2 linked regions of the Lonchura striata genome follow. Each later gene encodes a partner of the first gene's protein in a complex. Links are inferred from orthologs where the notes say so. Each region holds a gene or a part of one and is shown in the gene's direction. Other genes may lie near its edges. The genes, in order: RIPK2 and NGFR.

Region 1 (7,499 bases):
TCTAATCTAAGCCTACTCTCCTTCAATTTGATTTTATTTCCCCTGTAACTACATGCTTTTATAAAAAGTTCCTCTCCATTTTTCTTGTACAGTCCTTTCAGGCACTGGAAGGCTGCAAATAGCAAAAAAGCCTTCTCTTTTCCAGGATAAACAAACCCAATTCCCTCACCTTTCCTTGTGTGAGAGATGCTCCATCCTTCTGATCATCTTGCTGTCCTCCCTCCCCTCTCCTGACCTGTTGGCTTTGCATCAAATCTGCTGCACTTGTTTAATAGTTTAAATTTTGAAAGAGAAAATAAAAGGGGGAGAAAAAACTTGTTCTAATTCACTGCTGAAAGAAATTTTTTCAGCTTTCAGCTGAACTAATTTTATGGGAAACACCAAGAACAGCAGCATTTTAGACTGAAAATCAAAATAAATGTTAAAACCTAGGAGTACGGGGAATGGGGATGCTGAAGTATTTTGAGGAAATACCCAGCATAAAAAATGCATGTAGACTAATCCTGAATGCAGCAGACCACTGAACACCTAATACTACCCATGCCTGTAAAGTTGGAGGTGTCACGGAATCCTCCTAGACCTGGCAGTCATCTTCCAACAGGAGATAATTCTGTAAGAATTCTATTAGAATAATCCTTTTTGGCTCCTGAGAAATACTGCTCTCCCAATAATCTCTGTGGTTAAGGAATTAGAGCTAGGAACTACTCTTAACAGGCATTTCTGATGCAGATTCTGTTTCAGATGGATGACAGTCATCCCATGCTAGTCATCCTTGTTTCTAAAAAATGATCAAACACATTTTTATTGGATTCAGCACCTAGGATGGACCTGGCCCCTGAGAATCCACATGCTAAGAAAGGTACAGAAGAGTACCACAGTGTTATTTTGTCTAAGGAGAATCTTTCAAAATCATCCCCTCTTTTCTTTCCTCCTCTGTCAAACTTTTGCCTCTGCCACTTCCACACTGAAAGCTTCACTGGAGGCTAAGATGAGAACCATCTTCATAAAGTTGCTCAGGTCTCACAAGCAAGTGGAGAAAAGAGGAAGCTCAGTGAAAATAGCAAATAAACATTGAAATGGTTCAAGTGTGAGGTGGCTTTGTCAAACTGCTAGGCCTGAAAAGAGCACTAGAGTTTATCCTGGTATTACACTCATGATGTGTCATCACCACATGGCCACCAACATTAGCACAACATAGAAATAAAAATCCAGGTGACTCAGAAGCATCAAAACCCAAGCACTCCCTCCCTCCCTCCTTCCCTCCAAACTGCCAGAAAAGTTCTCAGCAGCTCTGCTCCTCGATTCAGTCAGATGGGTAGTGTCAACATGTTGTAATAGCTGGATACAAGTACTTTCATGCAGCTCTCTTAATATAAAATTGTGTCAACAGACATCTAAAACCATAGGCAACAACTTCCAAAAGAGCTCAGATGCTCAGGAACAGCCCACCTAGAGTGTGGCACATGCTGATAAAGAAGGGTTGGTTGAGGCTGGCAGGAGAATACACAGAGGATTTCAAAGGCTGATGGTTTCCATGGTTGTGGTACTCATTACTAATAGATCTGAGCAAGTGTATCATTACATTGCTAGCGTGACAGCAAGCAAAACAGGATCTCAGCCAGAATCTAACCACCTCGTGCATTATTTCAGAAAAAAAAATACTTGCTTCAGCAAGACCAAACACAACTGAAGAGGTTACTACCAAAGTCCTTCATTCCTGCAATGTGGATAGTACAAAATATTCAGGCAAAATATTCCTTTTAAAAATGTTATTATAACCAAAACTCCATTTTTATGTAAAATTTGAAAAATCCACAAAATAAAAAGCAGGGACAAAGGCATTGTGATTACTGAATGAAAACTCATTTTCTAAAACAGGGTCTTTTATGCACCCATATTTTTCAGACTATTTAGTAGGTAACAGGGTCTGTCTGTCATGTTTAAGTCGAACAGCAAAAATATAATAAGGTTGTTTGAGGTATAAAATCATCATCATACAACCATAGCTTCTTTCAATCTGAACATCTTATCTCGACAACAAAGAGATTCTTGCCATTATGGAAACACAGTCAATCTGGTGAATTGCAAAAAAACCACAACTAGATGTGGTGCTTATCCATAAAATATCCATAAAAATGAAGGCACTATAATTTTTTGGTGGAGGAACAAGATTGTAACAAACTGGAAAAAAAAAGTCTTTTACATGCAGGTAGTGTGAATTTTTAAAAACATACACATGACTATAAAAGGATGCATGTGTATCTATGTATAAGAGGCCTGGTTTTCAGGTGGAGATGCACAGGGAGAGATATGTATTTTATACCCTCTCCTCAACATCAGTGTGAATACCTGTTTAGAGTAGAAATGTGAAAGCTCTTTCCAGACTAAGCTGCTCACAGGGAAGAATGTCAAAAAGCAAATATCACCTCAGTCTGGAAAGTCTGTTTAATTTCAGCTGTTATTTTACTTGATCTTTTGCAGAGATACAAAGAATGGAAAGTGTTTTACAAGTCAGCATCACGATGTATTGATCACATAGTAACTAGCTGCCCTCCTAGATTTCACAAGCTGAAGGAAGACTAAGCCCCTCACCATAGCTTTCACCCTTTCAGAACCATTTTTTTCCAGTTTAAATTCAAGCAAATTACAGTTATGATAACACTAATCAAACCACTATGAATACCATATACAGAAAAAGTATCCTCTTTGCTGTGGACTTTGCTTACTTCATTATCAGTGGGGATATTCAGGAAATTTCCATGTGAAAGGACAAATCAGATCCAACACTTAAAAATGAAAAGGACTATGTGGGAAATCTCACAAGTTTAAATTTCAAAGAAATAAGCCACAGGCAGCTATTTATCTGCCACATGCTATAAATACTGTATCTATAATTTAGAAACAGTATTTAACAAAAACTTTAGTTTTTTCAAAAGTTTAATCTACCTTAGGACCTCAGCCTCGCCCCCAAGCTGCCATTAGGGTTGGGGTTAGGGTTTGGGGTGTCACAAGGACTACAGCTCCAGGAAAAGTGTAGCTGGAATAGGCATGACAAGAGAAGCATGGCACTGCTCCAACAGTGCTGCCTCCACATCCACTTTTAGAATTACAATAATTTTCCTGGGGTTTAAGTCAGTGTACTTAACACTATAAATGTACATTAAATCAACACAGCACACAGTAACAAGATGCACAAATAAATCTAAAGTATAGGGACATTTTATTGGCAAAGACTGTAAGTATGTATTTACACAGTGGTTTTATAATGCAAGCTCATGGTAATTGTACTTGGCATATAATTTTCTTTTGGAAACAAAATCTTCCTTATACACCAAATTTAGAATTGTATGACTAATGGTACTAATGGTTAATATAGAGAGGGATATGCATAAACAGATACCCAAAACTTGTATATTGGAAACATTGCCGCAAGAGTACAGTTTTGGGAAACCACCTAGTGTGTCTATAGGACATGGACTAAATGAAAACTGAAAGTAGAGTAAGTCACTGATTGCTTTACATGATTCATAATGCTGAAGCATTTGGAGGATACAAATCATCCAAAATACAAGAAAATTGTAAAAGTCATAAAGGTAAAGTGCTAGGACCTAGACAGGACTGAAAAGTTGTTGCCATGTCTTAAAATGAATGCTGTGAAATATTGGACATATTATAGCTTGAAAACATAGGTATTTTCCCTCATTCTCTGGTCCATATCCATGAGTGGGAGAAAAGAGAGGTGAAAAGCCACAGGCGTTTAGCCCATCATCCACACACATGGAAAGGCGAGTTGTTCTATTTACATTTATTTCATCCTGTGGAACTGTCACTCCTTGTGGAAAGCTACAAATCTATACCTTTAAGTTAAATTACTTTGCTAGTCTGTGAAAACTTGGCTTGGTGAACAGGCATTACAAAAGCTTACTGAGCAACCTTAAAGCTCTCATAAATACATCCGTGTATCAGGCAGCTCTCTATTACTATTGGCAAGGGTGAACTTGCACTTACTGGAAATTGCGAAACGATCTTTTTGAAATACTGTTATCCTGAAAAATCTTCCTAGGACAAGCGCGGAGGAGATAAGCGACTGAGACAAAGCTTTTCTCACTTCTCTTGAGCAATGAGTACACACCGGATGGGGCTCTGTGGAAGTCTAGTGGAAGGTGTGTCCTGTCCTGGCAGAGTTGCGACTAGATAATCTTTAAGGTGCCGTCCAACCCACATCAATCTGTGATTTTATGCAGCGAACAGTTCACAGCGGCGATCTGCGCTCGGCTCTAGCATCCCGCATCATTTTCCGAGCGCAGAGCCCACCCGCGCCCCGGCGGCTCCCCGGGGTCGGGGGGACGCTCCGTGCGCGGCTCCCGCAGGGCGAGGCCGCGCCAGCGCCGCGCTCCGGCGCGCTCCTCCCACCCCGCTGCTCCGCCTTCCCCGACCCGCGAGCCGTGGGACGCTTTTTCCGCGAGGAAGTGCCTCGTCGGTGGGGCAGAGGAGAGAAGCGCTGGCCAACTGGAGAGCAGGCGGGGCAGGGAGGTGCGGCGAAGGCAGGACGGGGCCGGAGGAGCGGCGCTCCGGGCCCCGCTGAGCCCGGCGGAGTGCGAGCATGAGCGGCGGGGATGGCGGTGGGGGCCGGGCGGGCGCCCTCAGCTGCGGCCTCCTCTCCATCCCCTCCAGCAAACTCCCGGACTTGCGATTTATCAGCCGGGGCGCTTACGGGACCGTGTCCGCCGCCCGGCACGCCGACTGGAGGGTCCCGGTGGCCCTGAAATGCCTGCAGGGGCCGCTGCTAGACAGGTAACGGGGCAGGGCCGGCCCGAGCCCGCCCGGCCCTAACCCAGCCCCGGGACGGGCCGGGGCCGCCGGCCTGAGGGCTGTGGGTCAGGTCCTGCTGCTTCCGTAGCCAGCCTTGCTTTAATTCCGCGGGGAAAGGGGATCCCACCAGGATGATTCAGCTTGGGCCAAGAGAAAGCGCGGACCGGCCCTGGAGCTTCCTCTCTTTCGATTATTGTAAAAGAGTGGTTTCGGTCTCGGTCTCTGAGACACTAAGCTGTTTCTTTTGGAGTTTTTTTCTTCTGCACTGTGAACCTTGAGCCCGCCTCGTGGTGGGATTGACAGAGTTTAGTTCTTGCTGGGTCTGTTGGCTGCTAACCATTTTGCTGAGGTATTCGCAGGATATTAAACTACAGTGATTACTGTAGATTTGGTGTTTACATAGAGAAAAGAATATCGGGAGTATACTGTTCTATTCACTAGAGATTGCATCTAGAAGAAGCTTCTCTGAGACCATGCAAAATTACTATTTTTCCCCAGATCTCACAGTACTGAGAGAAGCTGATTTAAAATAATAGGCTTGTAGACTCCCCTGTAAAACTGGTATTTTCCGTGTAACAATTGGGTTCCCTGTTTTCCAGGCACCCAAGTGGCAGCATATTTATTACAGGAGCTATCATTCCATGTAAGGCGACATCAAGTTTTACTTTTTCATCACTGTCTTATTCAATCCCCATAGTTCCAATTTGTTAACATATCAATGCAAACTTGTCTCTTCTTAGGTTGTTTGAAACCTGCCTGACTGTAAACCTGCCTATGAGTCTTATCTTGCTGTCTTCAAGCTTTTGCCTCAGGTCTCTTTGATCTAGTACTAGACCTTTAGGTAGGATAGCTTCACCCAGAAAGGCTTCTAGTCTTGTGACTCAATATACTCAAATATAAGACAAGTTGTTTTAAGCTCTTTCACCTCTTATTGCCCAGGTTTGTGTATACACGGGCGTTATCACTGAAATCTAGCCAGAAATGGAATCTCAGTTATGTTGTGTTTTTTGATAAGCTGGGGGAGGGAGGGGACGGGCGGGTGTTGTGGAGGATTTTTTGTTTTGGATTTTTTTTTAATGTGTGCTTAAATCCCAGCTAATTGGAAATACAGCATTTATCCTCAGAACACAGCTGAGAGAAACCAACCAAGGCTATTTTTAGACTTGTAAGAATTTGGATTAGTGGGATATTAACCTGTGAAATTATGATTAGAAGGGCAAGTGAGGTAATCCAAATAATTCAGTCACCCACCATGATGCCTTAGGTTTTAGCTTTTATATTTCTCAGATTCTGGACTGCTTTAGGATGTACTTCTGAGCTTCATATTAAGGGATAGTAAGCTCTCTTCACAGAGTAGGTAGGCAAAACAGTTCCATTCCTAGCTTGGAACCAAGGACAACCACCCAAATTTCAGGCCCAAGAGTATAAACAACATGGATTGAAGGGAGAAAAACAAGAAGAATCAGACTTCATAACCTAAAGCTATAATTGGACAATTAACTCCAATATGTTAATGGACCAGAACTTATAAGTGAGAGACCTCGTGACTGGTTGTGCGTTTTGTGACCATTTTGGCTTCATCTTGGGTGTAGCCTTGGCTGGGTTGTTGTACCGCCTAAGGTGTATCCATTGAGGCCTCCTAATAAATGCTTACTTTATTCTTTAACTCTGCCTAGCCTAGGTAGGCTTAATTAAGGTCAGCCTTAATAAGGCATCACCATATATCATGCAAAGCCTAGAAATGCTGTAAGAAAACTCAAAGGTGCAAAAAAAAATCCATTATACCCGAGTCTCAGCAGCAAGTGCTTTGCTGATTGTACAGTAGGCAATATGAAATGCCAGCCTGTAAGTGTTGTCAGGAATAGGGATGAATTCTTGATGCCATTCATTCCCCAAGTGAGAAGCATGTGCTGTGCATCCCAGAATATGGTATGTGACCAGGCAAAGAGCAAAGCCAGTTGGGAAGCTGTTGTGGGAATGTGCTCATTTAGGTATTACTCAGTGCCCTTCTGGCATGGAGCAGACAAAGGTGAAGTGACTGACAGGCACAGGAATAGACTGCAGTATGTCGCAATTTGTTTCCCAGCTACAGCTAAATCCCATGCTAATGTGCCTTACTGTCTGGGAAAACCCCAAACTTTCTCAAACCTACTCATTCTGAAGAGAGGGAGGAAGGTGTAGAGTTGTCTCTTCCATCCCATGCTTGTATCAAAGGCTGTCTTTTTACTTCTGTCATTTCCTATAAATCTTTTTCCATCACACAGATAAAAGGACCTTAATTTTATATCCATCTAAATTCAAAATTGCCTGCTGCGAAGAGCTGCAGGCTTTAGTTCACTCTTTTCCCATATAGCCTGACAGCCTTTTCTTTGTGAGTGCTAAGACCACCTTGTTGGATCCAGACTGCCCTGAGTGCTTTGGGGTGTGCCCTGAGCTCAGTGGGCACAAGCCAGCTCTCACCCTGGAGCTGCCCTGTGCACATAACACAGCGCTGTGCTGAACCAGTCATGGTGGGCATAGCCCTGGCCCCAGCACAGCCCTATTGCTTCTGAGTCAGACTGGCTCACATCCAAAGGATCAATGTGCTGTAAATGTCCTGTATTTGAATATCCTAGTCATGTACTTGTACCAATCTCCACTAAGATCTAAAAGCTTTTTTTGCTGAATTATGTTTCATGATCCAACTA
Region 2 (8,208 bases), on another chromosome or scaffold:
CCCGTCCGTCACTGCCAGGGCGCGGCTCCGCTCCCACCGGGGATCCCTCTTTAAACCCCCCCAGGCACCCCTGGGTGCTCCCAGGAGCTTCTCCCTGCTCCAGGCCCTCCTCCCCTCGGCCGCTTTCCCCGTGGCTGTCACGTCCCGGCCCTCATTAAATCCCTGCTACAATCGGATAAAATCGCTTTTACCCAATTTCCTCCTGGCTGTTTGCTGGCTCGGAGAATTCCAGCGGGGCCGAGACAGCGCTGCCCGTCCCAATGCGATTATCCCGGCCCGATCGATCGATCCCGGCTGCCCGGCCCTTGGCAAACTCGCGCCCGGCTCCCGGAGCGGCCGAACCCTCCCCGGGCTCCTCCCTGCACCGATCCCCACCGGGAACCCGGGAATGAAAATAAAACCAGCAGCGGGAATGAAAATAAAACCAGCAGCGGGGTCATTGAGCTGGGCAGGGAGCGGCCCCAGGATCCCTCTGGATGTGCCGGGACACGGGGCCGGGGCCGGGCTCCGCTCCCGCAGGTGCTCGCGGCTCATTTGCATAAGGGATGAAGGCAGCAATTAAATTCCCTCATCATCTCGGCGGGCTGGGAAAAGAGCTCCCCCCGCTCCTGCGTCTGTCACTGCTGGGAAGAGGCTCTGGAGAGGCGAAATTCCCACCCGGAGGTGAAATTCCCACCCGGAGGTGAAATTCCCACCCGGAGGTGAAAATCCCACCCCCGCTTCCACAGGGGAAACTGAGGCACTGCTGAGCGGGCAGGCAATGGAGAACATCCCGGCCTGGAGTGGGCTGGGAGGAGCCCAAAAATCCACTGGATCTCCTCCGGGCTGCACAGTGGGATTAGAGGGTTGTTTTAGGGCCCTTCCAGTGGTAATATTCTATTCTATTCTATTCTATTCTATTCTATTCTATTCTATTCTATTCTATTCTATTCTATTCATCTCTATTCATCTCTATTCATCTCTATTCATCTCTATTCTATTCATCTCTATTCTATTTACCTCTATTTTATTTCTAGTTCATGTCTATTTTATTTCTATTTTTTCTATATTTTTTCTCTTTTTTCCTATTTTATTTCTAATTTATTTCTATTTCATCTTTATTTCATCTCTATTCCGTTCTACTCATCCCTCTTCCATTCTACCTTTATCTCCTTCTACTCCAGCCGAGCACCGAGTCAATTAAAACAAATCCCCACCCCCAAACGAAAACCAAACGCAGCGAAAAGCGCAGCCCTGAGCCGAGGAAGATAAAAAATCTCTCGGCCGGCTCGTCCCCGCTGACACTCCGCTGCCGGCAGCGGAATTCCCGATCCATCAGCACCAACCCCGGGATCAATGGGCCCCAAAGCCGGCCCGGGGAGGAGGAGCGGCCCCGGCGCGGGGGGATCGATCGATCATCGATATCGCCGCTGCCGCTGCCGGGCGTGGCCCGTGCCTCCTCCTGCCCGTCCCCCGCCGCCGGGATTTTCTCCCCGGGGCTGCCCGGGCCCCGCTTTCTCTCCGGGCTTTGTTTTTGCCAGCCCGGCTCGGCTTTCCCGGCCGCTCCTCCAGGCCGGCCTTATAAGGGCCCGCGGAGCAGGGAGAGATTCATGCCCAGTCCCCCCTGCTGCCGGCAGGGTGATGGATCGCGCTGCGAAACACGGGAAGAAAGGGAAAAAGGGAAGGGGGGAGGCCGGGAGCTGCCGGAGCGGGGCAGGGACGGGGATGGAGGCAGGAACCGCCGGCCTGGAAAGCGGGAGACAATCCCAAAGGAGAGCGGGACCCCCGAGGGCACGGGAGCCGCGTTTGGGGGGCTTGGGGAGCGCTGGGGAGCTCGGGGCTTTGGGGTGACACCCCCATCCCTGTGGGAATGACAGCCCCGTTTCCATGGGAAAAATAGTCCCATTTCCATGGAATAACTGACCCCATCCCTGTGGGAATGACAGCCCCATTTCCATGGGAATAACAGCCCCATTTCCATGGAATAACTGACCCCATCCCTGTGGGAATGACAGACCCATTTCCATGGAATAACTGACCCCATCCCTGTGGGAATAACAGCCCCATTTCCATGGGATTACTGACCCCATCCCTGTGGGACTAACAGCCCCATTTCCATGGGAATAACCGACCCCATCCTATAGGAATAACAGCCCCATTTCCATGGAATAACTCACCCCATCCCTGTGGGAATAACAGCCCCATTTCTATGGGAAAAACAGCCCCATTTCCATGGAATAACTGACCCCATTGCTGTAGGAATGACAGCCCCATTTCCATGGGAATAACAGCCCCATTTCCATGGAATAACTGACCCCATCCTATAGGAATAACAGCCCCATTTCCATGGGATTACTGACCCTATGGGGAATAACAGCCCCATTTCCATGGGAATAACTCACCCCATCCTATAGGAATAACAGCCCCATTTCCAGGGAATAACTGGGCCCCACTTCCATGAAAAACTGGGCCCCATTTCCATGGAATAACTGGCCCCGTTCCTACAGGAATAACTTCCGAGCTGTGTTATTAATTCATCCTCATTTCTGTCTCGCCCTCACCGCAGAATCGGCTGTGTCGGGAAGGGAATTTCACCCGGTTTGGAGTAAAAGCCGTAAAACCTCCGCAGGCCCCGAGTGTTTAAGCCGGGCTCGCTCTGGGGGCTCTTTCGGAGCCCCCCGGCGTGGAGGGAGAGGGGAAACATCCCCTGGAGCCCCCCGGGCGATCTGGAGGAGCCCGAAGGGAGATAACGAGGGGGTGAAAGCGCTGCGGGGCCGGGAGGGGCTGCACGCGATGTTTCACCCAGTTCTAATTGCCCTTTCGCTAATTAATCCCGCCCTTTCCGCGCTCCCTCCAGCATGGGAGCCTCTGCATGCGTGACCCCGTCAGCCTGAGGGGAGCTCGGGAGCCGCCGGGGAAATCCTGTAAAATCCATGGAAGGATTTTTTTGTGATTAAAAGCGGGGCCGAGCCCTCCCTGAGCTGCTCCCAGTGCACAGACCCAGCCCTGGCACCGCCCCGCCGTGCCCTGCTGGCACCGGGAGCCGATTTTGGGTCCCCCCCGATGGCCACGAGGCTTTTGGGGACAGTGATCAGCCCCACCCCAGAGCCAGTGGCAGGTGGGTGGATTTTGGGGCGGCTTTAGGGGTTGCAAGAGTTCAATTTCCCCCCCCACAAAAAAACCCCGGAGCCTTTGGGTTTAATTCCAGGAGGTGACACCAGAACTTCGGGAGGTTCTTTGTCACTCACGGAGCCGGGAAAGCGCCACAGCTGTTTTGGGGACGGGAAAAAGGAGGCGCGTGTGATCCGGTGAAGAATTCCGCGAGTCCCTTCTCCAGAGGAGCCGCGGGGGCTGGGATGGGAGCGGGAATTTTCCCTCCCAGCCCGGCGCAGATGGAGCCCGGCTGGGCGGGACGGGCTCTGCCAGGGCTGCGGCTTTTCCCGGGATGCTCCCCAGACTCCCACCGGGACACGGCGGCGGCGGGGACGGGGCTCGGGGACCGCGGGCCACGAGCTCGGTGTCCCCGGCACGGGCAGGACGAGGAGGAGGAGGAGGGGGAGGAGGGATTTATCCAAGGGCCCGAGGAGAACATCTGGATTTGCCACTTGCTGCGGTGAATTAATTGCGGGATCCCGCGGCTGCTCCCTGCTGTGCCAGCCCTGCCTCGCGTCTGCTCCCGGGAATGTCCCCAAGGGTGGTGTCCCTTTGTCCCCTGCAGCCGGGGGAAGCTCGGTCACCCCTTCCCATTCCACTGGGGCTGCGGTGTCATCGGTGATCCCAGAAAAAACCCTTAAAACGCTGGGATTATGGCTGGCATCCCAATCCTGGGTGGGCATCCCAATCTTGGGTGGGCATCCCAGCCCCCGGGTGGGCATCCCAGCCCCCGGGCACCTCCCAGCCCGTTCCCACCTGGCCCCAGCGTGGCTTTTTTGGCTGCGAACGCTTCTCCATGTGGCTCGCAGATGTTCTGCCCGTGACGAGAACAAACGGCAGCTTTGGCTCGGCTTTAATCCCACGGAAAAGCTGCGAGAGAGGGAATTCCGTGAAGCCCTTCCCGGGCTGAGCCAGCGGCAGCAGCCGGCCCTGAGCACCTCGGAGGCTCCAGAATTGGCTTTTCCAGAGGAAATCCAGCGGAGTGGCGCTTTCCCACCGTGACCCGCGGGATTTCGGGGCTCCGGTGGCTGCAGGGCTGGGAACTGCTGGATTTTGGGAGCCCCAAAAGCACCTGCAGAGCCCGGAGCGGGGAGGAAACACCTGGAGCTGGACGCACACGAGGCCAAATCCGCTGTGCCGTGGCCACCGCGGCCGCAGGAGCCAGCCCGGGGCAGCGACAGCGAGGCGGGGCCGCTCCCGGTGGCACCGGTGCCCGGTGCCGCGGTTGGGTGGCCCCGCGGAGCCGTGCCCGGGGCTGACGCAGCGCTGCGGGGTGGGGAAGGAGCCCTGGCATTGCCAGCTGCGGGCACTGCGGGCCCGGCGAGGGCAGGAGGCCAGGCAGAGTCACCCTGGGGCGCCGGGACAAAGGAGGGCGGCACGCGGGGACCTTGCAGGGCCCACGGGGAGCCCAGATGGGATTTCTTTGTGTGGAGGGCAGAAATACAAAGATTTGATTCAGTCCCCGCCGCGTGCCCCCCTCGGGGGCCTCTGGGTGACACCGCCCGGCTGGGACGGGCCCGGGGTGTCCCCGGGCCGGGGATTTTGTCCCTTGTCCCCAGCAGCCGGGGCAGGTCTGGTCACCCCATCCCGCCCCTGGGGCCGCGATGGCAGCGGTGACGCCACCCCGGGGCCGGGGACAGACAGACGGACCGGGGGAGGAGGGGGTGCCGAGGGGGCTGGAGGACGGGCAGACGGCACAGGAGGCAAAGCCGTGGATGGGCTGAAGAGCCCCGGCTGGGCTGGGAGCGAGCGCGCCCCAGAAACGCTTCGTGGGCGGGCGGCGGGGCCCGGGGGGCCCGGGGGGACCGGGGGGGCCCGGGGGAACCGGGCTTTGTGTGGCGGCGGCGGAGGGTGCGGGCTCGGCCGCTCCGTGATGCTCCGGGGGCGGGGAGGAGGAGGAGGAGGAGGGGGAGGAGGAGGAGGGACTTGCAGCTCTTTTCTGGCCGCCGCCGCGGCGGAGAGCGGCAGAGCCAGGGCAGCCCGGCCGCGCTCCGGCTTCCGGGGCTGTCACCGGCCCCGCTCCGCTGCCCCCGCCATGGCCGGGCTCCTGCCGCTGCTGCTGCTCCTGCTGCCGGCGGTGAGTGCGGGGAGCGGCGCCCGGGGCAGCCCCGACAGCCCCGGCGGGGAGGGGATGCGGCGTCCCGGGGGCACCGGGAGCGTCCCCGGAGGCACCGGGGGATGGACAGCCCCGAGGCACCGGGCGGGGGTGGGATGGAGGGGCCCGGAGGCTTCACACGGGGGTGTCCGGAGGGTCCCGGGGACCCCGGGGTGGGAGCCCCGCGGGTGAGGGGCAGCGGACAGCACAGGCAGGAGCGGGGTCCCCGCCGTGCGGGGCTGGAGGATCCCGGGGGCACCGGAGAGCCCCGGGGAGGCGAGCAGAGCTCTTTGGGGTGCGGTGGGAGGGGGCGTGGGGAGCTGGGTGGGGATGGGGTCCCGCAGCCCCTCCGGTGCCGCTGCCCCGAGCTCTGCCACTGCAAAGAGTGACGGAGCCCCAGCCCGGGGGGAGCCCCCCCAGTGCCTTCATCACCTGCCCCGCACGCACCCCCCGCAACCTCTCGCAGACTTTCCCGGCTCCCAGGTGCCCCACAGCTGAGGCTGAGAGCCTTTTCCTCCCGGCAGAGCCCTCGCCGTGTGCCCCAGACAAAAAACTTCAGGGCAGGCTGGGGTGGGGGGGCCAGCAGAGAGGGGAGTGCCCGGAGTGGGGCCGGGGGGCTCCGAGCCCGCAGCTGGGGCAGGAGCGGGGCTGTTTGGGGGGCAGGATTTGCCGGGGGTCCCAGGGGGGCCGTCAGGCAGCCGGACACCCCTCGGGCAGGATATTAAAGGCGGAGTTGAGCGGCTCCGTGCAGGAGCGGAGCGGGGCTGGCAGCGCCGTGCCGGGGGGTCCTTTCCCCCACAGCCCCCCGGGATCGGGATCGGGATGGCCAAAGCGCCCCGGGATAGCGGGACAGCGGCCGGGGGGGCCCGGAGCTGTCCCAGCCAGATGGATCCCAACCATTCCCCCCCCAGGGCATCGCCCTCTCGCCCCTCCCCGGCTGCTGCAGCGGGGCCGGGCTCTGATGTCCCCAAATCGCCGCTTCCCTGCGCCGGGGTCACCGCGGGGAGCTGCTTCTGCCCTCCGGGACCGCACCTGCGGGGCTGGGAGTGTTCCTGGGGGGGGACAACAGGGACCCCGGCTGTGCTCCCCCAGCTCCGCGCACCCCGGGACCCCGCAGCCCGGGACCCCCGCAGCCCGGGACCCCGCACACCGGGACCCCCGCAGCCCGGGACCCCCGCAGCCCCCGCAGCCCGGGACCCCCGCAGCCCCCGCAGCCCGGGACCCCGCACCCCGGGACCCCCGCAGCCCCCGCAGCCCGGGACCCCCGCAGCCCCCGCAGCCCGGGACCCCGCAGCCCCCGCAGCCCGGGACCCCCGCAGCCCGGGATCCCCGCAGCCCGGGATCCCCGCAGCCCGGGACCCCCGCAGCCCCCGCAGCCCGGGACCCCGCAGCCCGGCCCGCCGCGCTCGCCGCTCGGTGCCTGCGCTGCTCGGCCCGGGAGCGGCGGAGCCTCCCAGGGCCGGCCGGAGCCGCAGCGCTCGGACGCGGCTCCCCGAGCTGCCCAAAGTTCGGGAGGCGCCGGGAGCCGGGATTTGGCCTCTCCCAGACGCGGTGCTCGGCCAAGAGAGGCAGAGCGCGCCCGCCGGGCTCGCGTCTCGCAGCCGGGCTCGTCTCCAGCTGGAGCATCCCCTCCTGGTGCCGGGCGCTCCGCGGTGCCAGACTCCGAAATCCCGCTCGGAGCGGCTCTGTCCTCCCCCGGCAGCGCCTGCCCGGGCTCCGACCCCCCCGGCACGGCTCCAAAAAGCAATTAAGAGCTTCCAGAGGTGTCGCCTGCGCCCTCCGGCCGCGGCCGGGCCGGGCCAGCTGTCAGGATGCTTTACGGCGTTAATAGCCGCGGCTTTGTCACCGGGAGCCGCGCTAACAGCGCGCGTTTCCGCAGCCTAACGCGGGCCAGGTGCCGTGCCCGGCCGGGGGGCTCGGGAAAGCCCCGGAGCGAGGGGCCCGCGGCACCTGGAGCCGGGAATTGGGAGCGCTCGGGGCGCGGGGGCGGGAGGGGACAGGACAGGTGGCCCGGGAGCGGAGCCGGTGGCCCGGCCAGGCCCGGCCCACGCGGGACCGCCCGCAGCTGCCTGCGGCGTGGGGGAGCTGGAATGGGAGACTGGGGAAGGGCTGGGATCGGGGAAGGGCTGGCATCGGGGAAGGGCTGGGATCGGGGAAGGGCTGGGATCGGGGGAAGGGCTGGGATTGGGGAAGGGCTGGGATTGGGGGAAGGTCTGGGATCGGGGAAGGGCTGGGATCGGGGAAGGGCTGGGATCGGGGAAGATCGCGGATCAGGGGAAGGTCTGGGATCGGGGAAGGGCCGGGATTGGGGAAGGGCTGGGATCGGGGAAGGGCTGGGATCGGGGAAGATCTGGGATCGGGGAAGGGCTGGGATCGGGGAAAGATCCGGGATCGGGTAGGGGCTGGGATCGGGGAAGATCTGGGACTGGGGAAGGGCTGGGATCGAGGAAAGATCTGGGATCGGCGAAGGTCTGGGACTGGGGGAAGGTCTGGGATCGGGGAAGGGCTGGGATCGGGGAAGGGCTGGGATCGGGGGAAGATCTGGGATCAGGGGAAGGTCTGGGATTGGGGAAGGTCTGGGACTGGGGGAAGGTCTGGGATTGGGAGAAGGTCTGGGATCGGGGAAGGGCTGGGATCGGGGAAGGTCTGGGATCAGGGAAAGATCTGGGATCAGGGAAAGATCTGGGATCTCTGGATGCTCTGGGATCTTTAGAAGCTTTGAGACTGGAGGAAGATCTGGGATCCCTGGAAGCTCTGGGATCCCTGGAAGCTCTGGGATCCCTGGGATCTCTGGATGCTCTGGGATCTTTGGAAGCTCTGGAATTGTGGGGTGCTCTGCGATCAGGGGATGCTCTGGGATCCCTGGAAGCTCGGGGATCCCTGGAAGCTCAGGGATCACAGGATGCTCTGGGATCTCTGGGATCCTTGGATGCTCTGGGATCCCTGGAAGCTCTGGAAGCTCTGGGATCCCTGGAAGCTCT

The links.
Region 2: the proteins of RIPK2 (region 1) and NGFR are in contact, whole or in part, in an NMR structure (PDB 2N83), measured with the Homo sapiens proteins. The link is inferred for Lonchura striata from reciprocal best matches to the Homo sapiens genes RIPK2 and NGFR. Residues at the interface, in NP_003812.1 of Homo sapiens: Gln437, Ser465, Arg466, Asp467, Leu468, Met470, Glu472, Asp495, Ile496, Gln497, Gly498, Glu499, Glu500, Lys503, Ile523, Leu524, Val526, Ser527, Arg528, Ser529, Pro530, Ser531, Leu532, Asn533, Leu534, Gln536; in NP_002498.1 of Homo sapiens: Gly334, Leu335, Ser338, Leu339, Pro340, Lys343, Val347, Ser354, Ala355, Asp357, Arg360, His361, Gly364, Glu365, Tyr368, Pro370, Ile373, Asp374, Leu398, Asp399, Leu401, Leu402, Arg406, Arg407, Ile408, Gln409, Arg410, Ala411, Asp412, Val414.

Annotation. Positions count from the first base shown.
Region 1 is NC_134603.1:26,087,592-26,095,090, reverse strand, and holds the start of RIPK2 (receptor-interacting serine/threonine-protein kinase 2), read left to right. Parts: upstream 1-4,431; 5' UTR 4,432-4,603; coding exon 4,604-4,794; intron 4,795-7,499.
Region 2 is NC_134627.1:7,916,592-7,924,799, reverse strand, and holds the start of NGFR (tumor necrosis factor receptor superfamily member 16), read left to right. Parts: upstream 1-5,111; 5' UTR 5,112-5,167; coding exon 5,168-5,209; intron 5,210-8,208. UniProt on the Homo sapiens protein: Low affinity receptor which can bind to NGF, BDNF, NTF3, and NTF4. Forms a heterodimeric receptor with SORCS2 that binds the precursor forms of NGF, BDNF and NTF3 with high affinity, and has much lower affinity for mature NGF and BDNF.